Nothobranchius furzeri: one gene and its partner. The protein of the gene in region 1 interacts with the protein of each later gene in a biochemical or structural test. Links are inferred from orthologs where the notes say so. Each region holds a gene or a part of one and is shown in the gene's direction. Other genes may lie near its edges.

Region 1 (15,661 bases):
GAACCAGCGTAGAATACATGGATACAATTACAATATTGCGCCCATCACCAACATTTTGCAAAAGCAAAAATCTACAAGGCATCCTTCCTTCCTTTCATCCACTGTGGGGAGTCTCCCTCAGACCAGTTCTAGTAATAATACTCGCGTGTTTAATAAATGTACTCTACATGTTTTTGGAGGCGATACAACCAGTCTAGAACATTTTGGTCTCACTTGGCTTACATACACACTTGATTAGGTACCAGCTCTGTAGTGTTTTACTCCCCCAACGTGGAGACATCGTCCCTTTTCACCAACATATTTACTTAAATCTGCTTTAATCCCAACTCTTCCTTATTCAGCCATTTTACATACTCTTCATTTTAAGTTAAAGGCCCCTGTTTCTTCTCCCGTTAACACAACCGGAGACGTGTGTCTGATGGAGACGGTCCGCGTCGAATCCCGGCTTTAATCCATCTTGAGGTTACGGTAGATGTAGCGGATGAACGTCAGCGAGGCCCAGAACGACACGCTGCCCAGCATCAGAGAGAAGACTAGCGCTGTGAGCAGCGAATATCCGAAGAACTCCGTGCTTTGCACCAGCCCACTCATGGAAGACCGATTCCGGTAGTAGAAAACTGAGTAGACGAAGATGAAGAGGCCCGTGGATCCAGTGCTTAGCACGCTGCGCCACCACCAGCGGTAGTCCTCACCAGACAGCAGGAAGTACGTCAGCGCCACGGAGATGCAGGCACCCACTGAGAGGAGGATGGCGTAGACGCACAGCAGGATGCCGTAGAGGGTGTAGTGCTCTCTGCCCCAAACGGTGGCAAAGATGTAGTACAGCTCCACAGAAATGGCGCTGAGGGAGGCGTTGGAGTAGAGTTCAGTGTGAAGCTTAACACTTGTGATGTTCAGATTCAACATTTCCTCACCTGAACGGCAGGAAGCCACCGATAGCCATGTGTATAACGGCGTGCTTGTACCAGGGCTGCTTGGGGATCTGCCGGGGGATGTTACGTGTGCGGCACGGCGCCTGGAAGTTCCCGGCCCGATTCTTTCCCACGATGCCGCCGATGACGGTGAGGGGGAAGCCCACCAGCACCCAGGCGCCGAGCAGGAGGAGCACGGTGGTGGCGGGCAGAGCCTGAGTTGAGCCGCTCCACCAGTGAACAGAGTTCACCACGCTCCACGTCAGGAAGAGAGGAGCTGGAAACCGGGTTAATAAGATGTGTTATCAGCGTTTCCAGTGGACAACTGGTGTGATTAAAGCATTAATCATTTATTAGAGAGCTGTATTTAAACTCTTTCAGCTGATTAAATAAAAAGTAAGTTCCATAAACTCATTGGCCAATTTAATTTGTTTTGTTGACAAACACCCTCATCTGCACGATTCCTATTGGCTAAAGCTAAATAAATAGATGCTGAGTTGGCAAAAGCTCTCAGCCCTGAAAAAGCATCACAACTCATTTGCTGCAGAAGCAAAATCACCAGGAAATCAAATAAAAGGCATTGATGTTCATTCTTTCACCACAGACTCAAACCGGGCAGTGTGACTAAACATAACAGCAGTGAAATCGTCCAGCATGTACTGCAAGACTTATTTCTGGAATGATAAGAATCAGTACCAGTAAAACTTTTATAATACCTGCAACACAGCAAACATGGACCCTGACAATGTTTTATTTGCTTCTGAAAAGATTAAAAACTTTCAAAGTATTTCTTTCCTTTTAGAACATTTTCTGAGATAAAATCCTCAAAGCTCAGCACGTGTGCGAACAAGTCATCTGTTGAACCTCAGTCGATTTCCACCTGTCAGCTAAGAAAATAACACCAGTGCATCTCTCTTCAACGGTATTTTAGAGCGGCTGAGTACACTTTGTGGAGTTTTTTTATTACGGAGAACCAAAAAATAATGTCATGTGGCATCAGATACTTAAAAAAGCTCTCCAGCAGGTAAAAAAGTGGTTTCTTTTACTATAACATGGATTTTTACAACCATAAACCAGCAAAGGGAAGATGAATTTTAGCCTAGGACTTCATGAAATTAGCATTGCTTGTTTTGCTGCTGAGTTTCCATTTATTGGTGAATATTAAGCATGTTTTTGGAACAACTTTGTTGGATTCAAGCTGTGTGAGGCATAATAATAATAATGTGTCACCCTCTAGTGGTGATACATGGTTAACGCATCTGAAAACAGATCAGCCAACACAAGAGTTGTGAACTATTAGAATTATGAGCAATGCGGCTATTTTTAATACATTCATGATGTGAACACTCTTCTAATCTGTGTTTCTCCTGAAAAACTTTTGTTTTCGACTAGAAAAATGAAAAAATAATGATTAAACACATTTGAGACTAATGTTTAGTGTGTGTTTTTATGTTTCTTTCTTCCTGCTTGAACAATTTTGCTGTTGGTTTAAAAAACCAGGAATGTGACTCAAAATTACAAACATTCTACAGATTTATCAATTTTATTTCAAATAAACCATAATTTATTTTATTTATCTGCCCATTAACCATCATTTTGTAAGGAACCAAATGGTTAAGACATGTGTTAATAGTACAAATTGTACAGTACAAGATTAAAACAGCACCGGCGTGAAGGTTAACAGTGTAGAAATAAAGTGTTGCAAGATAAAAATCTAGAAGATGAATAACATGTGGGGTGAGCCAAAGGTGAGGTGGAATGTCAAGACGCTCACCTGAGAAGAGAGAAGACGTGAGGATGATGTTCCACACCCAGCGCTGGCCGTTGATCTGAGTGTAGAAGCTACACGAGACGTACCCCGACACGCAGCTGGTCAGAGCGTACAGGACGATGGCCGCAGAGTTGATGGCGCCATGGCGATGTACGTTGAACCTTCCCAGCAACGCCATGATGATGATGGCTGAGGCAAACAGGTGTGTTTTAGAATTCAACAGGGTGTTTTTTGGGCTGTTTGACGCAAGACTCACCGGTGGCGAGGGTTAGGAACTGAGCTCCGACTCCCAGCACTGCGCACAGCAGGCTTTTGAAAGGAGGAAACCTGAACACGTCCGTGTGGATGATCTTCCATCCGTTATCTCCTTGGTCCAGATCATCACAGCCGCCCTCCTCTTCCACGTTATACCTGCAGGGATCACAGACGTGCATCAGAGCCTGGCTGAGATGCCAGCGAGATTAAAATCTCTGCTCACTAACCGAGCAAAGTCGTTCTTCAGGACCCTCATGAGGATGATGATGACGAAGCCCAGCAACAGCACCACTAGCACCAGAGAGTTGATGATTGACAGCCAGTGGATCTCCAGGGTTTTAGGGAAGAAGGAGTAGTCTCGGAGGCGCTCAGCTCTCCGGGCGTAGGGCAGACTGGACTCATACCAGTGCACGCTGTAGGTGTGTGTGACCGTCAGGCTGCCTCCCCCGACTCCCATGCCACCCACCGCAGCACCCGCCCCCTCCTCCAGGGGGAAAGGCTTGACGTCTTTCACCGAGACGTTTGCGAAGATCACAGATTCGCCGTTGTACTCGATGTTGAAGTCCAGGTGAGTCCACAAGCCCACCTGGTAAAGGTCAAAGGGGTCGACAGGTTAAAGGAAAGAGATCAGCACAAACAGCCGACCTCACAGACCAGATTCCTCCTCTCACCTTGTGGCTGTGAGGCAGGAAGCCGCTCTCCTCGATGTAGCCCACAAACCCCCAGATGGGTATGTCATCCAGGACAAACTCAAAGTAGTACAGCTCCTCGATGGCCTCGCGAAGCTCGTCCACCTGACGCGCACAAGCACCAACAAGCGTTTCAGAGTTCATAAAAGTTAGTCAACAAAAAACTTTAAAAAAAAACTGCAATTTCTGGAATTTTAAACACGTTGTTGGCAAATTAAGGTGCGTTCATGACGGAGTCTATCTCCTGGAAATGACCTGTTTTTCGGACAGAGTGAGCTGGCAGAGGACTTTCTTCCCCACGTTTTCTCCGAAGCGGATGTGATACAACGACTCTGCCATCCTGTCGCCATCCAGCACTTCTCCCAGACTCAGGGACTTGTGGTGCACCTGCATTAAAGGGTGACGATGATTATGTCAGAAAAATGAGCTCAGAACAGAACCTAATGCAGTTAGACTGAAAACAGTCAACCTTCATCACTGATAGTTTGGTGCTAGACGACAAAATATAATTTTCTTAAGCTACAAGGAGTTCAAACCTTCCGCAAAAAGAACAAAACACATCTTATTTTGAAATCTGTCGAAGCATAACACAAACATAGATAAGGACTGATACAATATGACCCATGAGCATTAGGCAGGCACCATCCCTTCAAGTCTTTAAGTCTCGTTTAAAGACTCATTTTTATTTGATTGCGTTTTAGCGCTAGGGTTCTTTGAATTGCCCTGACATTATGGTTTTAATTCTTCTTCTTTTTAACCCAGATGCTTGATTTTATTTTGTCCACCATTTGTTTTTGATCGATTAGTCTTATTTCCGTTATCTCTCTTTATTTGTAATATTGTTTGCTTGATATTTTATGATTTTATGTTTTTATCTTGCTTTTATGCCCATGTACTGGGAATGTTTTTCTTATGATGATGCTGTTCAGCACTTTGGGCTTCCGATAACGTTGTGGAAGGTGCTCTACAAATAAAATTTGATTGACTGATCATCGTCAGGAGTTTCATGAAAAGCTTCTGATCAGAGAAACTGAGTTTACATCCTTCATTATTAAGAAACTTAAAGCTTATTTTGCTGTTTTCTTTTAATAAATCTCACAAATTCACACTATTTTATTTAGACTCCTCCCCAGCACCCACATTTCTCTGTTACGCAGTTATCTCAGCTGGATTTGACCCCTGGATGGCGCCAAGGTGCTTCATTTTGCTGCTGCTGGTGATATTTAAGCTCTTAAATAACAGAAAAAATGATTAATGACCATTTAATGAACTGAATGATATTTTTAAATTAAAACAACTTGAGTTTAAAGAAATGAAAAGGTTTACAGTCCACATACACACAGTAATTATATGCATTCATAAGAAAACATCAAAGTAAGCTGATATGCACTCATCCTGTTAGCACCAAGGTAACAAGCAACATATCATCTAACATCTCTCGATACATGACATCTTTTTATTGCTGCAGTCAGATAAAATTACACCTTAAATAAAATAATGAATGCCTCCTTTCTCTGTGCTGCAACACACTAATTACATAGAAACACAGATCAAACACTGACCTTTTCCGGTCTGCACACAGGTAAGGTGTAGTAGTGATACGTCTCCTGAGGGTTGTGATATGGACCTACTTTATTGACATAAAGGGTCACATTGTCGCCCAGCTTGTGGCCCGCTGCCCAGCCGACCAGGACCAGGATCAGGACACAGACCGGAGCCATCGTTTACTGGTATCACAGCGCGTAACCCCTGTGGGTCAGAGGGCATGCTGAATTTGAGTCCCACTTCATGTTTGCATCTCACAACAATCTAATCTAGAACTGAGAGGCCGTGAGTAACCAGCAGTGCTCTTCTTCACACTGGATGGATGAACGAATCAAGACCCAGATAGTGATTTAAACTTTAGATCATCCTAAAAACAAGTTTCTACTCAGCTATCTGGACTCATTTAAGATGAATGTTTTGAAGCATTTAATTTGATTTAAAATAGATAAGATTAAATTTAGTTAAAGGGAGGACCCAGAAAAGGAATGTTAAAGACAAATAAAAGTCGCCGTATTGTAAAATATTACTAGGAAATGACATTTCGCCTACCAGACAGAATCTTGAAGATTTTAAGATTAAAAAAATAAGACCAAAGCCAAGCAGATCACAATAGCTTTGTTTATGTTACTCTGTAAAAACAAAGAAGCTTCCCTCTGTGACAAAAGGTGAAACAGATGTTAGACTAGTTCCCAGAATGTGACTTACCAGTCTCGCTGTCGTGTCACTCCAGTCCCGATGCGTCCAAACCAACAGAACCAGTCCGTCCGCCGGGCTCCTGCTCGGGCTCCGGGCCCCAGCAGCGGTCTCTTCCGCGGGGCTCACTCACAACCCACGCACACAACGGACATCCTACATGCAGCCTATATAATAACCACCGCGTCCATATCCGGGTACACTCGGTATTTTCGCCGACACACGAGAAAACTGCTCCAACACGTCACCTCAAGAAATAAAAATAACGACGACTCAGTTTGGTTTTCCGGGGGTGGGCGGAGAAAAAAAGAAAAAAAACACACGAAACGACACCGGAAACTTGGGACTGGGGATGTGTTTCTCTTCGTACGCAGTTAAAAGTGTTATTTGTAATCGTTAAAAGCACTAAACCCCTCAATTAAACCGTTTAGAGCTCATAGCATGGCGACTCCACTGTTTTACAGGACGAACCGGATTTCCTTCAACACCGATGAACCAATCAGGTGTTTGTTTGATGCTGCTGCTCGATCTCCAGCCAGTTTAATCGCACCCGCATCATTGATGTGCGGATTGAATGTGGACAACGTTCTACAGTTCTAGTATTAATGCCTGCAATTTGATTTCCCGCGAGTTACACGCAGATTCTCGCGCTCGATAAGTCCGAGTGGTTAAACTACGTTTTGCTAACTGGTGAGGACTATCAGAACTGACGTTATTTCATCAATTCAACCTCTTATGTAGCGTGTGTATCGTAATGAAACCCCCCAATTGAACGTAGCTTCCAGTTACTGACTGTAGAGTCATCTAAAAGTCGTGGTTTGATAGGTGTTGACTCGTTAGCGTATTCTGATGTGCAAACACATTGTCTTGCTGTATGAATGTGACACTGTGTGCCGCTGCATTAATACGTTGAGTTTATTTCTGTTTTCAGATAAATCACCATGGGAATACACGGACTTGCCAAGTTGATCGCTGACCATGCCCCTGGTGCAATTAAGGAACAAGACATAAAGAACTACTTTGGTAAACGTGTAGCTCCACTTTACCTTCGTTTAAATGATTAAGCACTCCAAAAATGAGAAAATACTCTAGTTATTCTGTGTGTCTAAATAAAATTTTAACTTTTTATTTACACGAGGCCTTAAACATGATCGCAAATGTTCACATTTTCTTGAAAAGCCTAATGTCTTTCCTAAATTACACATTTCAGGCAGGAAAATTGCCATAGATGCTTCCATGTGCATCTACCAGTTCCTGATAGCTGTTCGACAGGATGGGAATGTTCTGCAGAACGAAGAAGGAGAGACTACAAGGTGCAGTGTAAACAACAGGGACTCATTCATGATATTTATGCGATTTAAAGATAAACTAGCACTTGAAGCAATTGCTTTTAACTACAAGGCACTTTTGTCATTTATTCTTCCGTAGCCACCTGATGGGAATGTTCTACCGTACAATCCGCATGTTGGAGAACGGGATCAAGCCTGTGTACGTGTTTGATGGAAAGCCTCCACAGCTCAAGTCAGCCGAGGTCAGTATGAACCCAAAGCCTAAACGAATTCTCTACAGTGTGACATCAGAGGAGGAATAATAATAAAAACGGGTTTATTTTTCATTCTCATGTTGATTTTTACCTTTTGTCAGTTTGTAATTTCTGTTTTTCATCATTTAGCTGGAGAAGAGAGGGGAAAGGAGAGCAGAAGCAGAGAAGTTACTCGCTCAAGCCCAGGAAATGGGTAAATGTTCCGTTTTTATTCCGATAAGTGAATTTTAAACCACTCTGGACATTACACAGTTTCTTTTACAACTTTATCACGTTTTTCCTTAAATCAGGGGAACAAGAGAATATTGACAAGTTCTCCAAGCGGCTTGTAAAAGTCACCAAGCAGCACAACGATGAGTGCAAACAGCTGCTGACACTGATGGGAGTGCCTTACATCGAGGTAAAATAAAGTTTTAACTCTTAACACGTAGAGTCATAATCAAGCATTTAAACCCCCAGATAACCAACAAGTTGCTTTAGTCCTCATATTTTAGACAAATTATCTTCTTTAGCTGTGATTATTTTGTTTAAATTTTAGGATTCTGTTGTTTTTCTCCTTTGTCGGGTTTTATTTATTTTAAATAAACTGGAATCAGAGTTTGGAGGAGATCTACCAGAGGAAGTCACATTCAGCTGAGCTGTTCTTTTTGGTCACCAGTGAAATGCTACACCAGTCAGGAGATCCTTGTCTTATTATTTAGTCAAACACAGTTTGAGGAAATATCTTTTTAAAAAATCAACATTGTGCATGTTTGTTGTTTACATAACGTATGCAAGGTTTGTATTTTTAATGCTAGGGTTGAGATCTTAAAGGTAGTGGCCAGACTCGGCATTAAAATTGTAGAAATACAGTATAACTACACTTTACCATCAATATAAATATGAACTGGGTTCAGTTTTTGATTTTGTTAAAGAATTTAGTCATAAATCATTACAGAAAATCAACATTCTCTTCTCCAGGCAGCGAAGAACCGTGTTTTGCATACATCGTTCACACACACGTCATACTAGGGGGTCAAACTGGGGTGACGGTGGCACAGGAGTTAAGTGCTCGACCCGTAATCTGAAGGTTGCAGGTTCGAGCCCCGCTCAGTCTGTCGCTGTCGTTGTGTCCTTGGGCAAGACACTTAACCCACGTTGCCTGCTGGTGGTGGTCGGAGGGACCGGTGGCGTCAGTGCGCCCCAGGGCAGCTGTGGCTACATTGTAGCTCATCCCCACCAGTGTGTGAATGTGTGTGTGAATGGGTGAATGACTGATTGTGTTGTAAAGCGCCTTGAGGGGTTCCAGGACTCTAGAAGGCGCTATATCAAATACAGGCCATTTACCATTTAGGTAGCTGCTGTTGCTAGCATGGGTAAATCGGTGTATTTTGTTTACTATCGTCTTCCTGATTAAAACAGAAAATTGTTTGATCTAAAATAATAACCTACATCTATAAATCCATTTGGAACCGCACCGGTACTTCTGGACTCCTGCAGGCGAGTCCCGTTAGCATGACTGCTGCAGCACTAACCGTGTTAGCTCCGGCAAAGAACAAGTAATTTGTGAAAGCTACGAGACACACACACACACACACACTTGCACATATAATCTAAATGATGATCCCCATTTTTCAACAATAGATCCTCCTATAGGACCGGTAGAACCTCCGTGTCATCCTGGATTAGAAAACAACAATCCAAGCTAGCGAGTTAGCATCAGAAAGTTTAATTCTGGTAAGAAATCGGTTAAATATTTTCCAATGTTATATCAATAAATACACACAGCGGTAAAGCTGGCAACATGTTATTTTACTCATCTGTAGATTACTGAATTATATTGGGACAATATGGAGAACTTAACTGAAAACTATCAGTGGAGCACAGGCTTGAAATCTTTAACAAACTTTAACAAACGGAACCGATTTTGGTTCAGAAGACAAACAGAATCCTCCCCGGTGTCTTAATCGGGCCGCGGGTTGGTCCAAAGCATTTCTGCACCTCCGGTTCTGATCTCCAGCTGCCGGGCACGGAGTTCGGTTGAACTTCTCCGGTAATCCAATAGCCGTCCTCGTCGCCGTATCCCAGAGAAAAAACATATCTGACCGACTAGCAGAGGCTTCAGAAGCTACATCAGACTGATGACACAATGTTCTCTGCTAAAACGCTAACGCAGAAACACCGGAGTCGGGCGTTGTTTACTGCAGCTGTTTCAGCAGAGCGCCTTGTGAAACGTCACCAGGTGCCCAGGGCTTAGACCGGAAGTTAGTTTCTGTTTTTCCCGTGCCAGTAAAAAACATCAGATTTTCTTAAAATTCCAGCCGTGAAAATCCAAAAACCTTTTTCATCTGAGGTTTTAATACTTCTTTACACAGAGGAATTTTGCTTCTGGCCGATATCTTTAACACACCAGGCCTATAATAATGATTCTTTTGGCTAGCTCTGGTTCATTATTTAGATTTTTACGCTGATAAATGGATATTTTCTGTTTTCTAAATAAAGTTTAAATGACCATTTGTTTGGTGTAGGCTCCATGTGAGGCGGAGGCCACCTGCGCCGCTCTGGTTAAAGCAGGAAAGGTGTTTGCCACGGCAACAGAGGACATGGACGGTCTTACCTTTGGGACAAATGTCCTGCTCAGACACCTCACTGCTAGTGAAGCCAAGTATGTACCACCAGTTCCTGATTTAAGCTTTGCTGTAGAGACAGTTTCTGTTTTATGCATGATTATTTTCTGTTTCAGGAAACTTCCCATTCAGGAGTTCCACTTCAATCGCGTCCTGCAGGACATTAGCCTGACCACTGAGCAGGTAGGGCTTTACTTTTTCTCCTAACAGGATAGAATATATCATGCATGAGACTAAAATCTCTCCTGTCTCCAGTTCATAGATCTATGCATTCTGCTGGGTTGTGATTACTGTGGCACCATCAAGGGAATCGGACCCAAGAGAGCCATCGACCTGATCCGACAGCACGGCTGCATCGAGGAGATCCTAGAAAACATCGACTCCAGTGTGAGTTATTGTTTCCTCTCATCCCATCTTAACCGGAACTTATGTAGTCAGACCAGCTTCTGAATCTGATTCCTACAGAAATACCCCACTCCGGAGGACTGGCTCTACAAAGAAGCCAGGAATTTGTTTCTGGAGCCAGAGGTGGTAGATTGCTCCTCAGTGGAGCTGAAGTGGAACGAGCCCGACGAGGCGGGACTGATCCAATTCATGTGCAACGAGAAACAGTTCAAGTGGGTCAAAAGTTGACTTTCCTGTCCCATTCTTCACCGAGTTTGATTGTCTTTGTAGATCCTGTTCACTGTGCTTAATGCAGCTGTTCTTACAACGTTTGACCATTAGTCTGTGCTGTTGGCCTGTTTTATGTCATGTTTAGTAGCTTTTATCTTTTTGGGAGAGTTCATTCACCGCTTTACAGCAAATCCTCCCACATTCCTTATTATTATTTATAAACACAATTTAACCCATATGAAAACACTTTAAAATGATTATAATTAGGTTTTTATTGATTTTAGTCGTCTTGATCACTAATCTTTGTGTTTGCAGTGAAGACAGGATCCGTAACGGCTGTAAGAAAATCCTGAAGAGCCGACAGGGCAGCACTCAGGGGCGACTGGACTCTTTCTTCACCGTCACTGGATCCCTGTCCTCAAAACGAAAGGTATCCCCTCAGATCCTTCAGCAGCCATTAAGTGTTTTATCTCTGCTTCAGTGAGCAGTTTTATTTTTGTTTTCTCAGGAACCAGAGGTCAAAGGATCAGCAAAGAAAAAGCAGAAAACTGGAGCCACTCCTGGCAAGTTTAGAAAAGGCAAATAAATAAAAATCAGATGCATTTGAAGTGTTTTTGTTATAAATACTAGATATTAAATAAGGATTTTAACTGCAATGCAGAACGATTATTTCAACTCAAACTTTGTGCTTCAAATAAAAAACAAACTTTTGTAGAAAACATGGTGTGCTGATGTGTGTTTTAGTGAATGATCACAGAAACTCACAAAAGAACAAAACTGGTGTTTACGTGGATGCAAAAAAACAGACTTTAATGCTTTTATTCTGAAAGGTTTACCTATGGGTGTAAAATAACCCTTGGGTAAGTTTGTGTTTTTCAGGGAGCTCCGTGATTTATTTAAGAGTTTAAAACCATAGTAAGCAGATTTTTCATATTTTTAAATCATTTTGTTGAGCCAGTTTGTGCTAAAATGACTTTACAGGGTTAATGAAATGTCACTCACATTCCCACTGCCCTTTGTGACCAGAATACCCCACTTGCAACTTCAGAGTGCCGGTCTGCTCTCTGTTGTACTTAGGAAAAGTGGAGCTGACACCTGTTGCTGGAGTGTGTTTCTACGTTTGATTTAGGGATACCACCGATACCGATACTGGTAGCGGTAAAAGTTAACCAATATCAGGAACCGATACCAATGCAGTTGTCTGAAAGTGGCTTCACTATAACTTGTCATTTCCATTCACCTTATATTTTAGTTTTGTGATCATTTGTATTAATATATTTTATTTTTTATTTACCTCACAGTCTTCCTGTTGAAAGCAGAGAAGAAAATAAAACCTGTATTCCAATTCATTGCATTTTTGTGGTAGAAGTATCTGTATCGGCGAGTACTCAGATCCAAGTATCGGGTATCATATTGGTTTGGGAAAAATTGGTATTGTTGCTTCCCTAGTTTGATTTGTTTAAGTGATGAGCCACTCCTGTAGAAACTACTAAAGTCTGGATGATGAGTGGATGATGGTAACATCATAGATTAACTAATATATATATATATATATATACTCGACATGTCTCTATATATATATATATATGTGAGAATGTAGAGCAGCCAGAAGGTCTTCAAGTTGAAAGAAGTAGAGGCAAACTGCAGCACATGGACATTTTTCCTTGAGAGCCAAAATGCTTCTCAGGCATTTATTTCACTGCTTTCCTTTACAAATCACACAAAAAAAACCTCAAGCCTCCACCTGGCTTCCTTTAAATACCCCAGAAAATCACACCTGCAAACAATCAGCCCCAATCATCAGTGCTCCAACATTAAATCCAAAAGGAAATAAACATCCCCATAAATGTACCTAAATGTTAACATAAACAAAAGACAAAACTGTTTCTACAATACAAGAAACATTTTCACACTAAGACCAAAGAAACAAATCCCATTTCCTTTGGTTTGTCCAAATGAAGCAGCCAATCATGGGATGATCACAACCTGCCCTGGATACAAAGCAAACATGAAATCCCAAATGGTAACTACATCCACACCAGTGCAATATTCACATTTATGTCTGGTTAAAATATCCCCCATCACAGTGCCAGCAGGACACAGATATAAATTACAGGGGGCGAATGGGAAATCATCCAAACCATTTGTCACTATATATATATATATATATATTTCTCGAGACCTATATTGTTCAACCCTTAATGAAATAAACAGAATATGGAACGTATTCCAGTGGGCTACACCTTGGTGCTCAATTCCGATTTTTTGAGTAAATCAGATTTTTTGTGTACAGTCAGTACACGTATACAAATATGTGTACTTACTGTAACGGAACAGCTCTGGGTGTCATCTGTTTCAGATGTAATGTCTTTAAAGCTTGGAAAATTTCTCTGTGGCAAAGATTAAACCTGCTTTCTCTTCAGGCATGATTTACAACGATGTTTAGTTTTATTTTAGTCTTGTGTAACTGTTGGTTTTGCAGCCAACTGAAGTAACTTTGACGCGACCGTACATCCCCTTTCTCTTTCTTCCGTCTCTCACCCTAGAGGTGGGTTCTCAAAAAAGATTGCACGCTCAGACCATTAGACGTCCGTTGGTGAGACACTTCTTGTCCTGAGGTTAGTTATCTAAAACACTCTATATATGTTGTGTATACGTGTGTGTTGCTCTAATAGATTTGTGATTTAGATTGTTTTATTTGAACTTTATTAGAAACAGAAAGCTGCTGACAACTTTTCCAACTGTTTTTATGTCCTTTTATTAAAAGACACCCATCATTGCTGCACATGGTGGAAACAGGAGAGCTGATGATTGATTACCACTTACTCAAGTTATTATAAATGATTCATAAATGTGTTTTTAAACTACACACTGGTTCTGATTGCAGACTCGTCATGTCTCTCATTCTGGTGACATCTACGTTGTTCCTGAGGTTCCTCTTTGTGTCCGGTGAGATTTTTGTCACCTTGTTTTTTACAGTTTATTGATGATCTTAGTTGGATTTTAACAGTAAAAGCACATCAGAACGGAGCAGCATTCCACTAACTGAATACTGAATTTACAGGTAGCCCATATTGTGCTGCTAACGAAGCAAAGCTCTTCATTACTACTTCAAAGACCTTGAAGGCCACGAGTGGATCTTGTTTAATAATCCCGTGTCACTTCAAAAGTGAAGAAGGGGTCCACCTCTCAGGGATCACCTTTGGAGTGTGGATCAAAGACAATCCCAAATTCACAGACTACCCAGAAAATGTGGTTTTCAACAGCAGTGGGTCAGTGAGAGACTATCCGATGGAAATGACTGGAAATCTGAGCCAAAACAACTGCACCACCATGTTCTTCAATTTAACCAAAGATCACTCAAAAGATATCTTCTTCAGAGTTGAGAATGCAACATTCAAGGCGACGGCTTGTAGTAATCCTGTTAAAATCAAGGTCAAAGGTGAGCAGGCCTGAGTTTCAGCCGTTATTTATACATCTATACAAAAAGCATGGTGAAAGGTCATTATTCTGATTTATTGTCACTTAAATGTTTCAGATCAGCAAACAATCTTTCAGAAAATTAACTGGTTTCAGGCAAAAATGGGATTTGTGTTCAATGATCAATGATCTGAAATTTCCATTTATTTTGGAATTTCATGCTCAATAGACCTCATTTATATAATGGAGAGGGGTGGGGGGTCCAAAACTGAATGCCGGCAAATATTTATGCGTAAGTGAAAAAACTAAATATTTTATTTGGGTCTGTTTAACATGAAATCCCAGATTCTCCTTGGAGACCCAGGATTACCACCTCAGGAGGTCTGGAGGAGCTGAAGGAGAAGGAGTCTGTCTCTATAACCTGCTCAGCTCCGACTCCCTGTCCACTCTCACCTCCTGAACTCACCTGGAATCTCCAACCAGACTCTGGCAGACAAACACAGAAGAACCCAGATGAAACCTCTACAACTAAAATCCAGGAGAACGTGACTCTGTCAGACACACATGATGGATACAACATCACATGCTCTGTCTCATACCCTGTGGATGGAGGAAAACGTCTGAAAACAACAGAGACAGTGACTCTTCATGTTTCCTGTAAGTGATCCTGTCAGCACGTCATGGTTCAGCTGCTTCTGATCAATAAAGTTCAAGTGAGTCCCATTTTCCTCAGATGCCCCTAAAGACACCTCAGCATCCATCAGTCCATCAGGTTTGGTGTCAGCAGGTAGCTGGGTGACGCTGAGCTGCTCCAGTTTAGCCAAGCCTCCCGTCAGCAGCTTCAGCTGGTTCAGGATCAGCTCAGAGGGACCCGTTCAAGTATCTGAGGAGCAGCTTTACAGCTTCGACGTCTCTGAGGGAGGAGAGTTTTACTGTGTGGCTGCAAACGTTCTGGGGAATCAGACGTCATCAAGGATCAAACTAAGAGTTGGAGGTAACTTATTCACATTTTCTTCTTTCACTTGTTTTATTTTGATTCTTTATAGTTTTGTATTTGATCTGGGTAATCAGACATCATCAAGCATCCTTTGTAGTCTGAACTGTAACTTTTAACATTTCTGCATCTCTCCACCTCTTGAGTCACTCGGCTGATTTGAATGAAAAAATTACAAAGTAATTAGTAATCAATTATCTTGTTCAAGATGGCTGCCACGGCTAACTGATATTAAATCATAAAAATAAGTAAATAAATGAATGGAAACAATCATGATGTTTTTTAAATGGAAAAGAAAATTGAATATTTGAACATGTAGCAGCAGGATGGGAGCAGCATGAGACTCAGCACATGGAGACTATTATGTTTATATGTCCTTTTATTTCACAGTTAGGACAATGTCTCATTCATCTGGCTTTTAAATCATGGATCTGAACTGGGTTACATTTTAGCTTGAATCGGTGTTAATTGATCCACGAATCACCATTTTAGTGTTTTATTAGTATAATCTTATAATAATCAGCTGATTGGGTGTTTTTGGTTTTATTTTCATGTTTTATTCTTTGTCGTGAGTGCTTGTTGGTCTTGTATAATTGCTGAATCCCCTGTAACGCTTTGG
Region 2 (15,734 bases), about 22 Mb from region 1:
CTCTGACTCCGGATCGTCTGAGTCTGCAACAGAAAACGAACCAAGAAAAGATGAAAATACTTTATTCATCAATCTGATTTTCTTTAATCTCAAACAATAAACATAAACGTTTACAAGCGTCAACAAATCTAATCTAAAATTGTGACAGCCTTCATGCAGAAAAACAAAAAACCCAGGTCCGAATCGGATCAATCTGGATTTTCTACCGAGTCTCAAACACAGCCAGAACCGAGTCGTTTGTAGGAGCCATATGTGTCATTTCTTTTTGTGCACTTGAGAGGAGGCTTGGCCTCATGCTATTGGTTAATTGCTTGTGGAAGCACCAGCCTACTTAAGCCAACACAGAATGGACTCAGGTGTGGCTGGATGGGACAAACGGTTTTTTACTGTGTGGCGAGGACTGTGGCTGTGTGTAACGGACTCTGCGGACTGTCATTGGGGCAAGTAACGCATTCACTGAAACCCACTTTAACTGCTGTAAATGGATCCTGGACATTTTGGAACAAAACATCATAATGAACATCATCAGAAATAAACTCAAGCTGCATTTCTTAAAGCACACGTAAAGACCACCCGCAACAGCTACCAGGTAGTGCCAGTGTATAGGGCACTGGTGCTACACTTCATCGTTAATAAAAATCTGTTTATTTAACTCGACTCGTGTGAAAAAAAAAAACACAGGAGAGACGAAGATGTGCAGAGCAGCAGCTGCCCATTGAGCCGGGTCAGACAGGAGACGCAGCGCAGCACGGACCTACACACACACATATAAACACACACACGCACACACATATAAACACACACACACATATACCAGGTATTGAGTCGTCCTGAAAAGCCGTTACGCTCGGGCAAAGCCAAAATCGAAGTCAAGGGCCGGACTAAGGTCAATCCAAAAGTCAATCCAAATCTAGAACATGCTAACGAACGAAGTTAAACACAAGGGTACCACGAGGAGAAGAGAAAAGAGTGAACACCTCCGTGTCCACACCTTCTATGGAGCTAGGATTGGGACAATATTCAGCGTAACTTGTACCAAGTTTTGTAACTTCGAACATGTTTCATCACATGTAACTTTAGTTTTCTAACTTGTAATTCTCAATTCGTACTTGTATTTCTTGTTTTGTAACAGGAACGTTGTATTTTGTACATGTATTTTTTTATTTTGTAACATCAAACATTCATTCAGATACATGAAACTTTCGTTTTGTAACTAGCAAACTTCCAAATTGAAAAAAATCAATGTACAAGTTTGAAATCAAAACTCTCAAAACACACATTTCATTCTACAGGTACAACCCTGAAATCTACAGTTACGGATCTTTTTGTCTCGATTCTAGCGTCAGTGGGAGGAACTTGGGTGGAACCAATGAGAGCACGAGTCTTAGCTACCAATCACGTTTCTCAAATTCCTGTCCAATCATTGGGAGAGGAGGGCGGGGTTCTGGTTCTGTCAGAGCTGTAGAGAGTTACGACACGGAAAGCGGGAGTCACGTGGTTCATGGAGCTTTGAATAGTTCCAAACAGCCCCGCTGCTGCATTGACCGTAGTTCATTTTCGGTGTTTCGGAAGGATTTTCTCCGGTAAGTTGATGAAATGTCATCATTTTGTTGCGTTGTGAAGCGTTAGCTAACCGCTTCGTACCAAAATAAGCCAACGATGATATTTTATGTTGCCAGTTTCAGCTAGATAACCTTTAATGAGCTAACTGTGTGCAGCTTGTTGGTTGTGAGCAGGAGGACGAGCTGTAGACGGGTTTCTTTCAGTTTGTTTGATTCTACGTTTTAAAAATATTCCCCACAGTTTGAAATAGGTTATAAACTTTTTACATTATTAGTTTTATTTGGGATTTTTTGTACAATATGTTGCTGTATCAACACGAACACGCATCAGAAATGGAAGCACAAATGGAGAGACCAATAATAAAGAAAATGTGATTGTGAAGACAAGTAATTATTTAATTTTTTTCAGTTAACACTGACTACAACGAACTGCTGAAGCATGAGACAAACAGGATTACAAACATAAGAAGATATGTTGTTCTGTTTTGTGGACTCAAGTAATAAGAATAGCATTAAGATAATTCAAGAACAGTTGAACAATAACTTTTAAAAATTAGACATTTTCCATAAAACTGCTCATTTCCACTTGCTTTATAATATTAGCATTTGCAATTTTGTTATTAAGGAATGACAAGAAATAAGAATTAATAACACAACTATCAATAAATAAATGTCAAAGAGTAACTAAAACAAAGATCTTATGTAACCATTAAAGGTTAAACTGTGTTGTGTGTCCATCTTCATGTTTTCATAGTGGCTGAGTGGAGAGCTGACCAGGAACAACGGTGGTGGTAAAACCCAGTTGGGTCTGTGATGGAGTGATGCTCGCCTGGAGTGATTGCCATCTCATCCACAGTGAGCACACACTCTCTTTCCATCTCTGTCAGGTTTTTAACCTTCAAACTGAGCATGTCACACACCTCTCCTAACACACCTGGTTCCAGTTTAACGGGCTGCATTTGTCTGTGCAGGTTCTAACATCAGGCAGAGGGATACTCGTGTCCTGAAGAAACCTGCAGCCTGTTGAACCCACTGAAAAACGGAGCTGTACGGCCTTTTTGATTGTCTGTTTACTCCATTTACCGCCTCTTGTGTTTTTCATGCCTTTTTGACTTTCTGTTTCCTCCCTTAGGTTTTCCAGCTGGGTTCCCTGCTTGCAGCCTGTTCCTTTCTCCTCCTGGCCCTGACGCCCGCTCCTCGTGGCTTCCTGGGATGTCCCTCTCTCCTGACACCATCTCAAGTCCCCCCTCACTTTGCCTCATCTCATTTGCCTCACTGCTGCTGCTGCTTTCCTCATTCTCTGAATTTATAATGGCACTGTTAGAATAAAGAATCATTTTAAAATAAAATAAATACAAATGTCTTAATATTTCAAAAGATTGGTACCACAGTTTACTGGAGTACAACATGTGTGGTCGCTGGTCAGTGGATCAACATGCAGTGGTTCTGCTGTACTTCTCACTGCGGGGTCCTTCCTCCTCCTTGGTTCAGGGCGATGAACAAACAGCATCAGCCCTGAGTCTCACCTTGCCTTGCCTAGTCTTAGTAAACTGTCCCTCCTCTACATGTGCCTGTAGAGTGGTGTATTAATTTATTTCCTGCCACATTTAACAGTTTAATTGCAGCCTTTTGCAGTTGAGAGCAGAACATGTAGAGCCTTGATAGAAAACATGTGAGAGTGCACATTAAACTGACTGCACACAGCTTTTTGTTATTGTGATCTCTGGTCATGGTGAGGTTGCTCCTGCTGACTCGAGCCAACCATTTTCTTCTTCTCTCTGCGTCTTTGGGGAAGCCGTAATTCTGATTCCTCCATCAGACCGTTTGCTATATGCAGCGCAGCCAACTATGTAAGATATTCAACCTATAAAGGGATTATTAAAATACTATTTTTGTACATATAGAAATATTGAACAGAACCAAAAATATAGAAATGTAAAATTACATTTAAAACTTTCTCCAACCCTAAAATTTGTAATTTCAAATTTTAACCCACAAACACATTTTAATTTAATAATAATCAAAATAAAGTTATTCAAAAGAGTTTCATTAGGTCTTGAGTACATTGCTCATAATGAATGATTCAGCTTATTTGTGCATATGTAATGACTAAACATGATGTTGGTAAAATGCTTTATTAAAAATGCTATTATACATGTTGTACAAGTTTGTGTTCATTTTTTCACAGTTAACACTTTTTTATCTACTGTGATGAACCATACAGTTTTATTGAAGTTTTCTTTGTAATTAGTTGCTATAGAAACCAGATAAGCTGGGTTATAGATGCATGTGCTGTCTTCACATAAAAATATAAAGTAATGATTGTAAAATGTATTCTACTGAACATAATAGATCATCATTCTAAGCATAAACACCTACATATTTTCTTCAAGGTAAGCTGGAGCAAAATTCTAGCTTTAATAAACACTTTAAAATGGATATTACAACTTGAGTTTAGGGCTTCTTGCAGGACTTAAAGTTATTAAATATGCTTATATTAAAGCAGTGTGTTGCATTACTACATCACATTTATTGCTATAGTATATTATAGTAATGTATGTGGTCTAAATGTGTTCTACAGTGTTTGGACTGTCGTGTTCCTGTAATGTAGAACAGTCACGGCTGTCTGTCTTCCTACAAATGCTCGGAAAAATATAAATAGGCCACTTTGTGAAGGAGTTAGGACTTAATATATATATAATATATAATATTATTCAACAAATACCACAAATCACCAGGGGAAATGTGATTATATTAAATTTTTGTGATTTGTCCCACCATACGCCGTTCAAACTGACTTACGGCGCTGGGATGTTTGGAACTGAGAGCTCCGTGAACCACGTGACCGCGAGTCGGCGAGTTCAAAGAGTGTCGCAGCTCTCTCTCTACAGCTCTGACAGAACCCCGCCCTCCTCTCCCAATGATTGGACAGGAATTCGAGAAACGTGATTGGTAGCTAAGACTCGTGCTCTCATTGGTTCCACCCAAGTTCCTCCCACTGACGCTAGAATCGAGACAAAAAGATCCGTAACTGTAGATTTGAGGGTTGTACCTGTAGAATGAAATGTGTGTTTTGAGAGTTTTGATTTCAAACTTGTACCTTGATTTTTTTTATTTTGGAAGTCTGCTAGTTACAAAACGAAAGTTTCATGTATCTGAATGAATGTTTGATGTTACAAAATGAGTAAATGTACAAAATAAAAGTTTGATTTTACAAAATAAAAAATACATGTACAAAATACAACGTTCCTGTTACAAAACAAGAAATACAAGTACGAACTGAGAATTACAAGTTAGAAAACTAAAGTTACAAGTTACGAATCCAAAGTTACATGTGATGAAACATGTTCAAAGTTACAAAACTTGGTACAAGTTACGCTGAATATTGTCCCGATCCTAGCTCCATAGATCAGGAGGTTCTGAGAGGATTAGTCACAGAAAGTTCTTACATAAAACTTTATCTGACTTTGAGCTCCAGGCAGAAACTCTTCAGACTTTTATTTATGATCCCAGAGGTTTTAAAAAAATAAAATGCTTTAAACAGGGCTAGAGTTCATTTGAGTCTCGTCTGATTCTGGTTTAGTTTAATGAATCATAATAGATTTAGTAAATGAATGAAGAACCCAGTGGTTCTGGGAGGAACCCTGCCGCTGCTCCAGAGCTTTAAGGAGCTTAGGAAGGACCTAGACCTGTTTGGTTTCAGGGAAAGTTAAGCTTTTTATTTCTAAAGACCAAAAACAATCAAAACAACACAAGAACAAGGAAAATAGCAGACAGAAAAGGAAAGGTTAGAAAACACAAAACTAAATTTGATTTTATATATTCAGCTAATTTACTTCATCAAACAGCAAATAAAGAGAAGAAATCATGAAAGAAGAAGAAAATATCATTTCTATATTGCCTCTCAAGACAAAAATCACGAGGTGCTTCACAAAAACAAAAAATATAAAAAAGCATTCAGAAAATGTTTAAAAATATATTTAAAATGAGCAAAAAATAGACAAGAAGGGAGATCAGTGGATCCTGAGGAAGGTGGGGTAGGTGGGGAGAGCAGAACAGGAGAGGGTGATGAAGGACACACAAAGCCAGCCTGAACAAGTGAAATAGTGAAATAACTGATGAGCCTCCATACAGAATATCTGTTTATTGGTTTAATCAGTTCAGAGTTGCTGAGATATAAAAGGATTTTATGCTGAAATGAAAACAAATGAAACGGGTTTGTTTTGTCTGTAAATCAGGAGCATAAACAGGATCAGTCCTTTCATTTCGCTTTACTACCCATTCAGAACAAACCCCATTCAGAAAAATTATTTGAGATTTTAAAGTAAAAATAATGTATTATAACATTTATTTGCCTTTAAATTTGGATTTGACCTGCTATCAAATGAGGAAATAAAAAATTTTTGCTCTATTTTCTTCCTTTTTAGCAACTTTTAAAAACATTTTAAGACAAAACAAACTTTTTTTCTCATTTAACTAAAACATATTTAAATTAGCGCCCAAAACTCCTGACTCAGTCCAGAACCTCTGACCCAGGAGGTGGACCCACGGTGGACTGGGTCAGAACCTCTGACCCAGACCAGAACCTCTGACCCAGTCCTCATCTCTTTCTTCCCACCCTCCTGTTCCTGGTCTTTAATTCACTCGAACCTGATTTAAGGTAGAAATTGACTCCTAACTCAAGGGATGATCCAGAACCAACCATGTTTTTATCATTTTAAGTGTCGCCGATTTCTCTGTTAATAGGAACGTTTAACAGAGGAAAGCTGCTGTTTCCGTCGGACCTTTTTAAAGGCGGACACAACAAACTCCCTCCTTTCTCTTCTCTTTAAGTTTAGATTAAAGTTTTTAAAGTCAATATGAAGTTTCGGGGGAAAATCATCGACGTCGCCTGTTTAAACCACTTTAGTCGTGAGTTTTTATAAACGTTTGTCTGGCGGTGCTAACGTGTTAGTAGCTTATGTTAGCCTAACGTGTTAGCTTAACATGTTAGCTCGCTTTCTGTTTTGGTGTTGAGTTCGAATTAAATTATTTGTTATAAAAGCAGTGAATGAAAACCCGTTTATCTTTAAATAAAACATGTTCAGAGTCAGAGAAAACTTTACTATTTAGTCTGAGACGCATTACAGTCGGTCAGTAGTTTTAAAACGTGTTTGTGTCTCCAGGAGTGATCACCACCATCTCTAAGCTGACCAAGACGTGCGTCATGCGGCTGACGCCAGACAACCTGTTCTTTGTTCTGTCCGGTAAAGTGACCAACGGGGGGGTCAGCATGTGGTGTGAGCTGCATCAGGTGAGCTCAGGTGGCTCCTTTAGCCCGGGGGGGGGGGGGGGGGACCAGAACAACAAGACAGCTGTCGGTCTGACATCATGAATGCATCACAGGTGTTGGTAAAGCTGCGGCCCGCGGGCCTTTAGTGGTCCTCCACTTTAGTTCCAGAAGTGTGTTCTTAGTATTCCTCGTGTTTTATTAGCTTTTATTGATCGGTATTGTTATGGTCTGTTGTTGTTGTTGTTTGATTGGTCGTGTTTTAGTCCAGCCTGCGCGGCGCTTTGGGCGGCTCTCGTGTTGTGTTTTAAATGTGCTTTATAAATAAAGTTTCGTACGGTGAGAACATCAGAAAATGTTGAGCTTGACCCAAAGTCAATGGCGCTTTTCCTGGTAACTGAGAACACAAACGCATCACGAGTCAGAACCAGGGGCCTGATGGTACCAGAACATACTGGTATGAGGTCCAGGCCGTGACCGGGCTAATGCCAAGTGCTTCCTCCCTCCAGGCCAACTTCTTCGATGAGTTCCAGATGGAGGGCGTGTCCTCGGAGTTTAATGAGATCTGCTTGGAGGTGACGCCAGAAAACCTGTCCAGAGCCCTGAAGACGGTCCAGAACGCCAAGTCGGTCAAAGTCAAGCTGACCAAGAAGCACTGTCCCTGTCTGACTGTCGCCGCCGAGCTGGTGAGACAGGCCGAGGACCACGGACTCTGGTTCTGCTGCGCTGGCTCCATAAATGTTCTGATTCTCATATAAATCATCTCCAGAATGTTGAAGGTTCTGGTTTAGAGGTTCAGATGCAGCATACTGGTTCTGAGTTAGTCTAATCGGGCTCAGTTCATGACCCTGATCTCCCTCTGACCCGTCCAGCCCTCCCTGTCCAGCAACAGTCGGGTCGTTACCCACGACGTTCCGGTTGAAGTCGTTCCCCGGAGTCTCTGGCACGAGTTTAAAGAACCAAGCATGCCGGACTTCGACGTGAGCTTGATTTGAATCTTTGTTAAAGTTTTGGGTTCCTGAAGCGGGCCCGTCTCACTGCTTGTCTCTGCAGGTGAGCATCTACCTGCCGCCTCTGAAGACCATGAAGAACGTCGTCGACAGGATGAAGAACCTCTCCAACTTCCTGGTAGGATCAGTTCCCAGATGAGGAACTTTAACGGCCACCAGGTGGCGCTGTTGGGCCAGAACCCGTCAGTTCTGCAGCGATTTAAGAATATAATCTTTCATTCAGTTAACACTCAACAAAGGTGAAGATGTTTGAGTCAGCCAACAGAGAAACTGATCTGCAGCCTACGAGTAATTCTGTCAATGAGACTCGTTAGTTTAACTAGTTCCTGGTTAAAAATCCGAGTTAAACTTCCTGAAAGCCACATCAGGAGAGCTTAAGCTGCCGGTTTGATGCAGATTAACGTTTAACTCCAGGTGATGGAGGCCAATCTGAGCGGAGAGATGAACCTGAAGATCGAGACCGACCTGGTTTCTGTCACCACTCACTTCAAAGACCTGGGGAACCCTTCATGGGGTAAAACATCTGGACCCATCCGCCTACCGGTTCCTCAGATTAACCCCAACGTGGTGGAGGTCACCAGAATGACTCCTCATGTCTCCACAGGAGACGCCGCGTCGCAGGATGGCGGCGCGTCTCAGAGCAGGGACCCAGAGGCCATGGCGGAGGTCCGGGTGGACATCAGGAAGCTGCAGCAGTTCCTCGTGGGTCAGCAGGTCAACCCCAGCAAAGCCATGTGCAGTGAGTTGAGTCTTAAAGCAGTTAGAGCCAGAGGAGACCCCGCCCGGTGCTCCTTACAGGACTGATCAGATCCTAGCGAACCCAGCATGTGATCATGTCTAAAACCAGATTATTTCTGACTAGAAACTCAGATTACAGAAGCGTGTGATAATCTGAGTTCAGGTTTCTGGTCTCCTCAGACATCGTCCATCAGAGCGTGGTCCACCTGATCCTGCTGCACGATGACGTCTCTCTGCAGTATTTCATTCCTGCTGTGGCCTGAAGCTCCTGCAGGCTTCTGTGGAGTTTCAGTTGGGAGACAAAAACCGGCTGGAACCAGTTTCTCTGAGCTGGTCCTGTTGGTGACGTGAAGAGCCAATCAGCAGACAGGAATGGCTCTCCGTGGGTTTTCTGTGTTTAATAGTAATTCCGATTCCTGCCGAGATGACGGGAAAACTCACATTTACACGAGTTTGTTGGATCAACGTCTGATTAAATAAAACTTGTTTACAGTTTTGTGTTTTTATTACATTTATTTTTATTTTAGAGCTAAATCAGAATTCTGATGATTAATGTTTTTATCACTAAACTAAACAGGAAGTTATAAACTAGAACTTTCAACAACTCCATTACCCATGAGCCTCTGGGAGCAGCAGGTCACATGACTGAGCCCAGTTTCAGCCATCAGAAAAATCAAAGGTGATCAAACACGACTAAATGAATTCCCAGCATTCCTTAAAGGAATTCTTTCTGCTTCCATGTGGGAGTTTTGGAGTTTGTTGTGTTTCCATCAGATGTTACATCATCAGGTGATGTCATCAGGTGTTCAGTGGGTGACCTGTGGTCATTTCTACTAAACGATCCTTGGATGGGAGGAAAAGCAGGATTTAAGGTGCGGTTCCTCCAGGTATTCCTGGTTTGACTCGGTCTGGAAGTTCTGGTTGTGTGTTAGCTGTCCAGAACCACGGCTGGAGGAGAAGGCATGAAGTCCAGAAGATGATTGTTGAACAATGACAGTAAATGTCAGAGGGGTAGGGTTAACCTGTGGGGGCAGATCTGTCCTCGGACGACATCTTCAGTTGATTTGTTGTTTTGTTTTGGTTTATCAGCTTTGTTTGTTTGTTTTTGTCTGCTCGTCGTGTGCCGCCCTTTTGCCTTGAAGATGAAGTTTGGCGCCGACAGGCTGTGATGGATTAGATTGTACAGTAACGTCTGTCTGCAGGTGTCTCCAGGCAGCAGCTGCTGGAGCATCCACACCACCACCACCCTGCAGCAGGTGTGTTGTTCCTAATGAACGCTGCGGCCTCGTCAATAATTACAGTAAATGTAGGAATCAGATCAATTGTGTTTGTAAAATGAAGCAGGACACAACCAGCCAAATGCAGCGGTGTGACGGTTGGGATGTGCTCTATGCTACGAGTCAGTCAGCAGCATCAGCACCACCCCATCTCTGAAGGTCAGCCTGCAGCAGGTGAGCTCTGTAATAACCTGTTCCTCAGGTGTGTCCTGTTATTTCTACATCACTGATGATTAACATCCATGTTTGCACGTGTGTTTGATTAGCTTCCAGCTGAAGGGACAGACAGCATCAGCTCAGCCGCCTGAGGACGCCCACACCCGTCAACACATCCTGAAGCTCGTGACGAGTCTCCCAAGGCTCCTCTAGACCTGCTGACTGACTCACCTGGCTGGTAAGATGCAGGTGGAGCTAGTCCACAGAGGCTCCATCAGCTAACATCAGAGAAGCTGGATGAAGTGTCCCCTGACATGTCGGTGGCCCTGGTTGCTGCCATAATGCCAGTGCTGGTGCTGGTTCTGTCACCCAGTTCATTGTACCTTTGGATCACCATGATGCCAGAGACAGCTGCTGCTGCAGGGGGGGGCGGGCGGGGGCCACAAACCGCGGGCCGGGACTTCAGATCAGATCTCGCTCCAGAGCCTCGTGTGACTCCTGCTTGTTCAGACCTTCGTCTTCGTAAAGATTCTTCTGGGGCACATATTCATCTTCCTCATCCAGAGATGAGAAGTCCTGTGAGGTAATCAGAAGAACAACCAGCAGAAACCAGCAGCAGGACCTTTTAACTGGAGTTAGACAGATTATTTACAGCTCAGTAAAACAATCAAACACGAGTTAAATGATCACATCAACAGAAGCGTCTGCCCAGGTTCTGCTTCTTCATCAGTTTGTGTTAAAAACGGGAATCAGAACTCCTCCGTGGCTTTAGGAGGACAGGAAATGATGCGTGAAAGTGTTTACTAATGTCTCCTTCTCCGGTCTTCCTCTCCTATCACATCCTTTTGGAGCAGAGGGCTGAACTGGTTCACGTGGGAGTGATCAGGTATCTATTCTATTATTCTATTCTATTCTATTCTATACTGTTTTAGTTGAAGCTGCAGTTTCACCTCTTCACCAGCTGGGGGAGCTGATGTTCCACACGACACTCCCCTACAGGAACCACTTCACAGTTTGTAGTTTTATAAATTATTTACAAATAAACAACAAAACATCTCCAGTGTAGAGCAGCTGTAAACAACAAACGTCTCAAAGCTCAGCTGGTTTTTCTATAGAGGCCCAAAATTCACAATCATGACTGTTTCTTTAGAACGGGTTTAAAAATCAACATTTTAAACGCGGATCTCTTAATTATGACCCAGTTATAACGCACCATGTGATCGCTCTTTTATGAGCTTCTGCATTTCCAGAGATCTCCTTTCTGCTTCTTCTGTTGTTTTTGTTATCTCGGTCACTGATCATCGTTAAAAGCTCATTTCTATCAAGTTTAAATGAGCTCAGGTCATTAAATGTGAAGAAGGATGAAGTCCAGAGGAACCATCCTAGTCCAGGATGAAACCAGGGTCTGATCCAGGATCTGGATTCATCTTTGGACCCACGTCTCAAACATTTTCTCACGAAAGGAAAATTCCAGCTGAGGGAATGTTGTAACTGAAGTGATGCTTCAGTCAGTGCTCTGTTTAAGGACGGAGTTTCCTGAGAAAACTACATCAAAGTTCAGCTGTCTGAGCGCTGCTGCCCCCTAGCGGAGGGGTGCGTGCAGCGCAGCACCCAGACCCAGGTACTCCAGGTTCTCTGCAGCAGGGAGGAACACGCCGTCCCCTGTTAGAGCCTCAGAAGTGCTGCTGGTCAGAGACAGGAAATTGGCCTTGTAGTCTGGACTACGGAGGCTGTCGCCATCCTCCGGGGGTAGCGAGCTCTGGGTCATGTTTAGGTACTCCGGTCCAGAAAACGACTTGGTGGCCCAGGACTGGTTCAGGTCCTCGTAGTTGGGATTAAAGACCTCTGATAGCCTGCTGCTGCTGCGTCTGGTTTCACTCACGCTCTGGTTCGTGTAGTCTGGGAGAAAGCAGGAAACATATCAGGAATAACTCTGGCAGTGATGATCATTCAGGTCTGGTCTGAACCAGTACCGTGTCCGGTGACGCCTCCTGCAACCAGTGCTCCGCGGGTGGGATCAGCGTTGTAACGCAGAGTCATGCTGTTCTCTCTGATCGGACGGCCGACCTGACATGAACAGATAAATAAATAATTATCTGTGTTTAAACAGCTGATCAACCAGTGATGGGACGTCTTCCGCCCCCTGGTGGCCGGCAGAGGTACAGCAGGTCATCCCAGAACAGTCGTAACCATCAGACGAAACCAGAACTATGACTTTAAAAATCAGACTTTGTGTTTTAAAATGATGACTTTTTAAAACTAATTAGGACTCAGAAACTCAGAATTATGAAAAGTCTCCGGATCATATTTATGTATTTTATATTACTTAGTATAACTTTGACTTAGAACAACAGAATCATGTGTTTCAAACTTTTACTTCATGATACCAGAAAATTAGAATCGTTGCTTTAACTCCACAGTTATTGTGTTTTACATCATGACTAAAGACAGGAAAACTCCTGACTCATTAAATCATTTTTATTGATTGTAAATTTGACGGGTAACCTATGACTGACTTTAAAAGTGACCCTTCTGGGTCTCCGTACCAGAGTCAAACAGTCATAATTACTGCCTTTAGAATGAAAACTGGTGCTAAACTCTTTGTGCACGTCGCCTCTTGCGTGTGTTTTTACCATGGTGTTGCAGGGGTGGTTGCCATGGTTACTCTGGCCTTTGTACGGCTGCAGGTATTCCTCTGCATCGACCACGTCGTCCAGGTCGTCTGAGCTCAGCAGGCGAGAGTAAAACCGTCTGTCGGACGGACTCGGCAGGTCACCCTGAGACACAAGTCCGTTGTTGTTTACATTTAACTGGAACATTCATCAGATTTTCACCACAGCACCGTCGGATCAGACCAGTGGCACACCTGTATGACCAGGTATCTGGACGGGTCACGAGCCATCTGAGAGAACTCTGCCACCAGCTCTCTGAAGCGAGGCCGGCTGGCCGGGTCGATCATCCAACCTGCAGGAAGACAAAGGTCAGAAGAGCTGATCTTCCACACCGAGGTCAGAGTCCAGATCCAGAACGGAGTCCCCTTACATTTCACCATGATCATGTAGACGTCGATGGTGCAGATGGGAGGCTGAGGCAGCCGCTCTCCTCTCTCCAGCACCGAGGAGACGTCTCTGGCCTGGATGGTGTCGTACGGTTTAGAGCCGAAGGTCATCAGCTCCCACACCGTCACACCTGTAGGGCACGGAGGCTTAGAGCTGACTAACACACACCTGCTGCAGCTGCACAGCCTCCACAGACATCATCGCTCCCACATAAGTGTGTATCTATTCATCATTATTAATTAGTTATTTATGACGGTTACTGGGAATCCTTCAGCAGAAGTTTACGTTTAAACCAAATCATCTCAGATTAGTCTGTATCAGAGACACGTAACAAAATAACTTCGTGTTTTTGTTTTTTATTCTTGATATTTTCTACGTAAGAATGGCAGAACATGTGGGGTCTTGTCCGGGATCTCCCATCTCATTTTAAGGACTCTCCCTTGGTTTTGACGATTGGGTTGAGGACACGTTTTTATGAATCAGGTTTTGATCAGACGTGTTTTTGGAGTTTGTTCCGGGTTTGTTCGGAACCGTTTTAACGTGAAGTGCTTCGGGTCGCCTCGGGTTGTGGTGAATAAAGAATGATGATGATGATGATGAAAACCTTCAGTTGGAGTAAAACTTCCCATTTTAAAGCAACTGAACTTGTTTTTTCTCCAGAACCAGTGAATTAAAATTCCGTCGTTGCTCATTCCTGTTTCCTGATTGGCTGATGCGATTTCTAAGGCAACAAACAGGAAATGAAAAGCGTTTGGTGTGACGCCGCCTCACCGTAGCTCCAGACGTCGCTCTGATGGGTGAAGGTGAACTGGAGGATCGACTCTAACGCCATCCACTTGATGGGAACCTGCAGAGAGGAAAAGTCCAAACATCCAAAAGAACCACAAGAACCGGGTCGCTTCAAGAACCTGAGCTTGGTAAATGCACGAGTTTCCTGGTGACCTCATGTCCTCTGGTGAGTTTATCTTTAATTTGTGCTGCATGTAAAGCTCCTCCAGACGGGTCTAAACCCGTGTTCCGACTCCTTCAGAACCACGTGAAGCTCCGGACTGGACACCCACCTTCCCTCCATCGGCGTGGTACTCCGTCTCGTTGGCCGTCAGCAGCTTGGCGAGGCCGAAGTCGGTGATCTTGACATGATTTGGATTTTTTAACAGGACGTTCCTCGCTGCCAGGTCTCGGTGCACCAGGTGACGCTCCTCCAGGTAGCTCATCCCCTGAGCAGAAACAGGAAACACCTTTTAACCACAGAAATGATCCCCTAACTCCAGGAGCTCTTCTGCATCCATGCAGCTCATTTCACACCAAGTCTGTGGCCTCATTTTTGATTTTCCCATCATTTTAACTTCCAAACAGGATTTTTAATTGACCAAGGGGATTAGGAGTATCCATCAGCGTTCCTGCTAACGAGCCGCTGCAGGCTTACAGGAAGCCGTGGACAGAAGCAGCGCCTCGGGCGCGGACTTAAAGGCTCACCTTGGCGATCTGAACACACCAGTTCAGGAGCCACTGACCACAGATGGTCTCCTGGTGGTGTCGGACGTAATCCAGCAAACAGCCGTAGGGCATCAGCTGAGTGACGAGCTGCACCGACGACGTCAGGCAGATTCCCAATAGACGGCACACATGAGGATGATCCACGCTCGCCATCACGTAGGCCTCCTGCTCGATGCAAGCATCAGGGTCACAAACACACGTCTGGTTAATGCCACGGGTCAGAAACATCTCCACCCAGGACCTCCTCCGTCCAGAGACAGGTCAGGAATAAACCAATCAGAGGAGAAGCTGAGAAGATCCTTACATCCAGGACTTCCTGGTTGGCTTTGGGGGACGTGGCCTCTCTGAGGACCTTGATGGCCACGGGGATCCTCACATTCTCATCTTCAGGAAACCACAAACCCTAAAAGACGACACACCATGGGATGATTTTTCCCTGATGAATCATGGAGAACACCGCTGAACACATCCAGCCCTGGAGCTCTTCTACCTTATAGACGGTTCCGAAGGCTCCGGATCCGAGCACCCGGTCCTTCTTCAGCTCCGTCTCCTTCAGGATCCTCAGGTGAGCCTGATTAGGAGCCTGACCGCTCGGAATCAGCGGCTCCAGCTGAGTTTAAACCCAAACAGAATCGAAAGAACATTGTGATGATTCCCAGACGTTCCAAGTTCACCGGGAACGTTTTAGGGAATAATGACGGAGCTGACGCGTCCGCTGCTGCTCATGTAAAAAGATCTTCACACACACGTTTAACATCTCCGTAAACACCTGAAGAAGGAAACCTGTAGACTTCCTCCAGCTGATCCAGCAGCTCCAGGCTGGAAAACTATTCCAGAATTCAACCACACGTCATCAGATTAAATCTGTGCTTTCACCTTCTTCTCCTGCAGCAGGCGGCGGATCGTCCTCTTTTGCTTGATTCGCCGTCGCCGTAGCAACACAACGATGAGCAGCAATACGAGGACGGCCACCAGGAGTCCTCCGACCACGCCGACCGCCAGCGTGGAGTTGGTCGTAGTGCTGTCGGCACGAACAGGGAGGGATTAAAGTTGGGAATTCTGACAGAAATCCATTAAATTCATCCAAAACTTTTCCTGATTTATTCCTAATTTCACCTTTAAGTGACATTAAAGCATCTTAATGATTAACCCAGAAGCAGGAAAGC

Evidence for each region.
Region 2: the proteins of fen1 (region 1) and hus1 form a complex in vitro, tested with the Homo sapiens proteins (2 studies listed by BioGRID). The link is inferred for Nothobranchius furzeri from reciprocal best matches to the Homo sapiens genes FEN1 and HUS1.

Annotation. Positions count from the first base shown.
Region 1 is NC_091747.1:42,122,156-42,137,816, reverse strand, and holds fen1 (flap endonuclease 1), read left to right. Parts: upstream 1-6,445; 5' UTR 6,446-6,554; intron 6,555-6,591; exon of another isoform or gene 6,592-6,689; intron 6,690-6,795; 5' UTR 6,796-6,805; coding exon 6,806-6,887; intron 6,888-7,074; coding exon 7,075-7,177; intron 7,178-7,292; coding exon 7,293-7,395; intron 7,396-7,536; coding exon 7,537-7,600; intron 7,601-7,697; coding exon 7,698-7,807; intron 7,808-9,914; coding exon 9,915-10,051; intron 10,052-10,129; coding exon 10,130-10,196; intron 10,197-10,268; coding exon 10,269-10,400; intron 10,401-10,478; coding exon 10,479-10,630; intron 10,631-10,943; coding exon 10,944-11,058; intron 11,059-11,136; coding exon 11,137-11,214; 3' UTR 11,215-11,575; downstream 11,576-15,661. Other genes in the region: tm9sf1 (transmembrane 9 superfamily member 1), read right to left, coding at 448-841, 915-1,188, 2,686-2,871, 2,939-3,093, 3,165-3,523, 3,609-3,731, 3,882-4,013, 5,189-5,347; sialic acid-binding Ig-like lectin 12, read left to right, coding at 13,469-13,577, 13,693-14,070, 14,394-14,705, 14,782-15,042. UniProt on the Homo sapiens protein: Structure-specific nuclease with 5'-flap endonuclease and 5'-3' exonuclease activities involved in DNA replication and repair.
Region 2 is NC_091747.1:63,755,116-63,770,849, reverse strand, and holds hus1 (checkpoint protein HUS1), read left to right. Parts: upstream 1-6,312; 5' UTR 6,313-6,421; coding exon 6,422-6,473; intron 6,474-6,727; coding exon 6,728-6,855; intron 6,856-7,340; coding exon 7,341-7,517; intron 7,518-7,703; coding exon 7,704-7,811; intron 7,812-7,884; coding exon 7,885-7,959; intron 7,960-8,255; coding exon 8,256-8,355; intron 8,356-8,445; coding exon 8,446-8,580; intron 8,581-8,759; coding exon 8,760-8,842; 3' UTR 8,843-9,075; downstream 9,076-15,734. Other genes in the region: melanoma receptor tyrosine-protein kinase, read right to left, coding at 11,595-11,911, 11,986-12,079, 12,646-12,789, 12,879-12,976, 13,055-13,201, 13,843-13,918, 14,133-14,288, 14,548-14,733 and 3 more. UniProt on the Homo sapiens protein: Component of the 9-1-1 cell-cycle checkpoint response complex that plays a major role in DNA repair. The 9-1-1 complex is recruited to DNA lesion upon damage by the RAD17-replication factor C (RFC) clamp loader complex.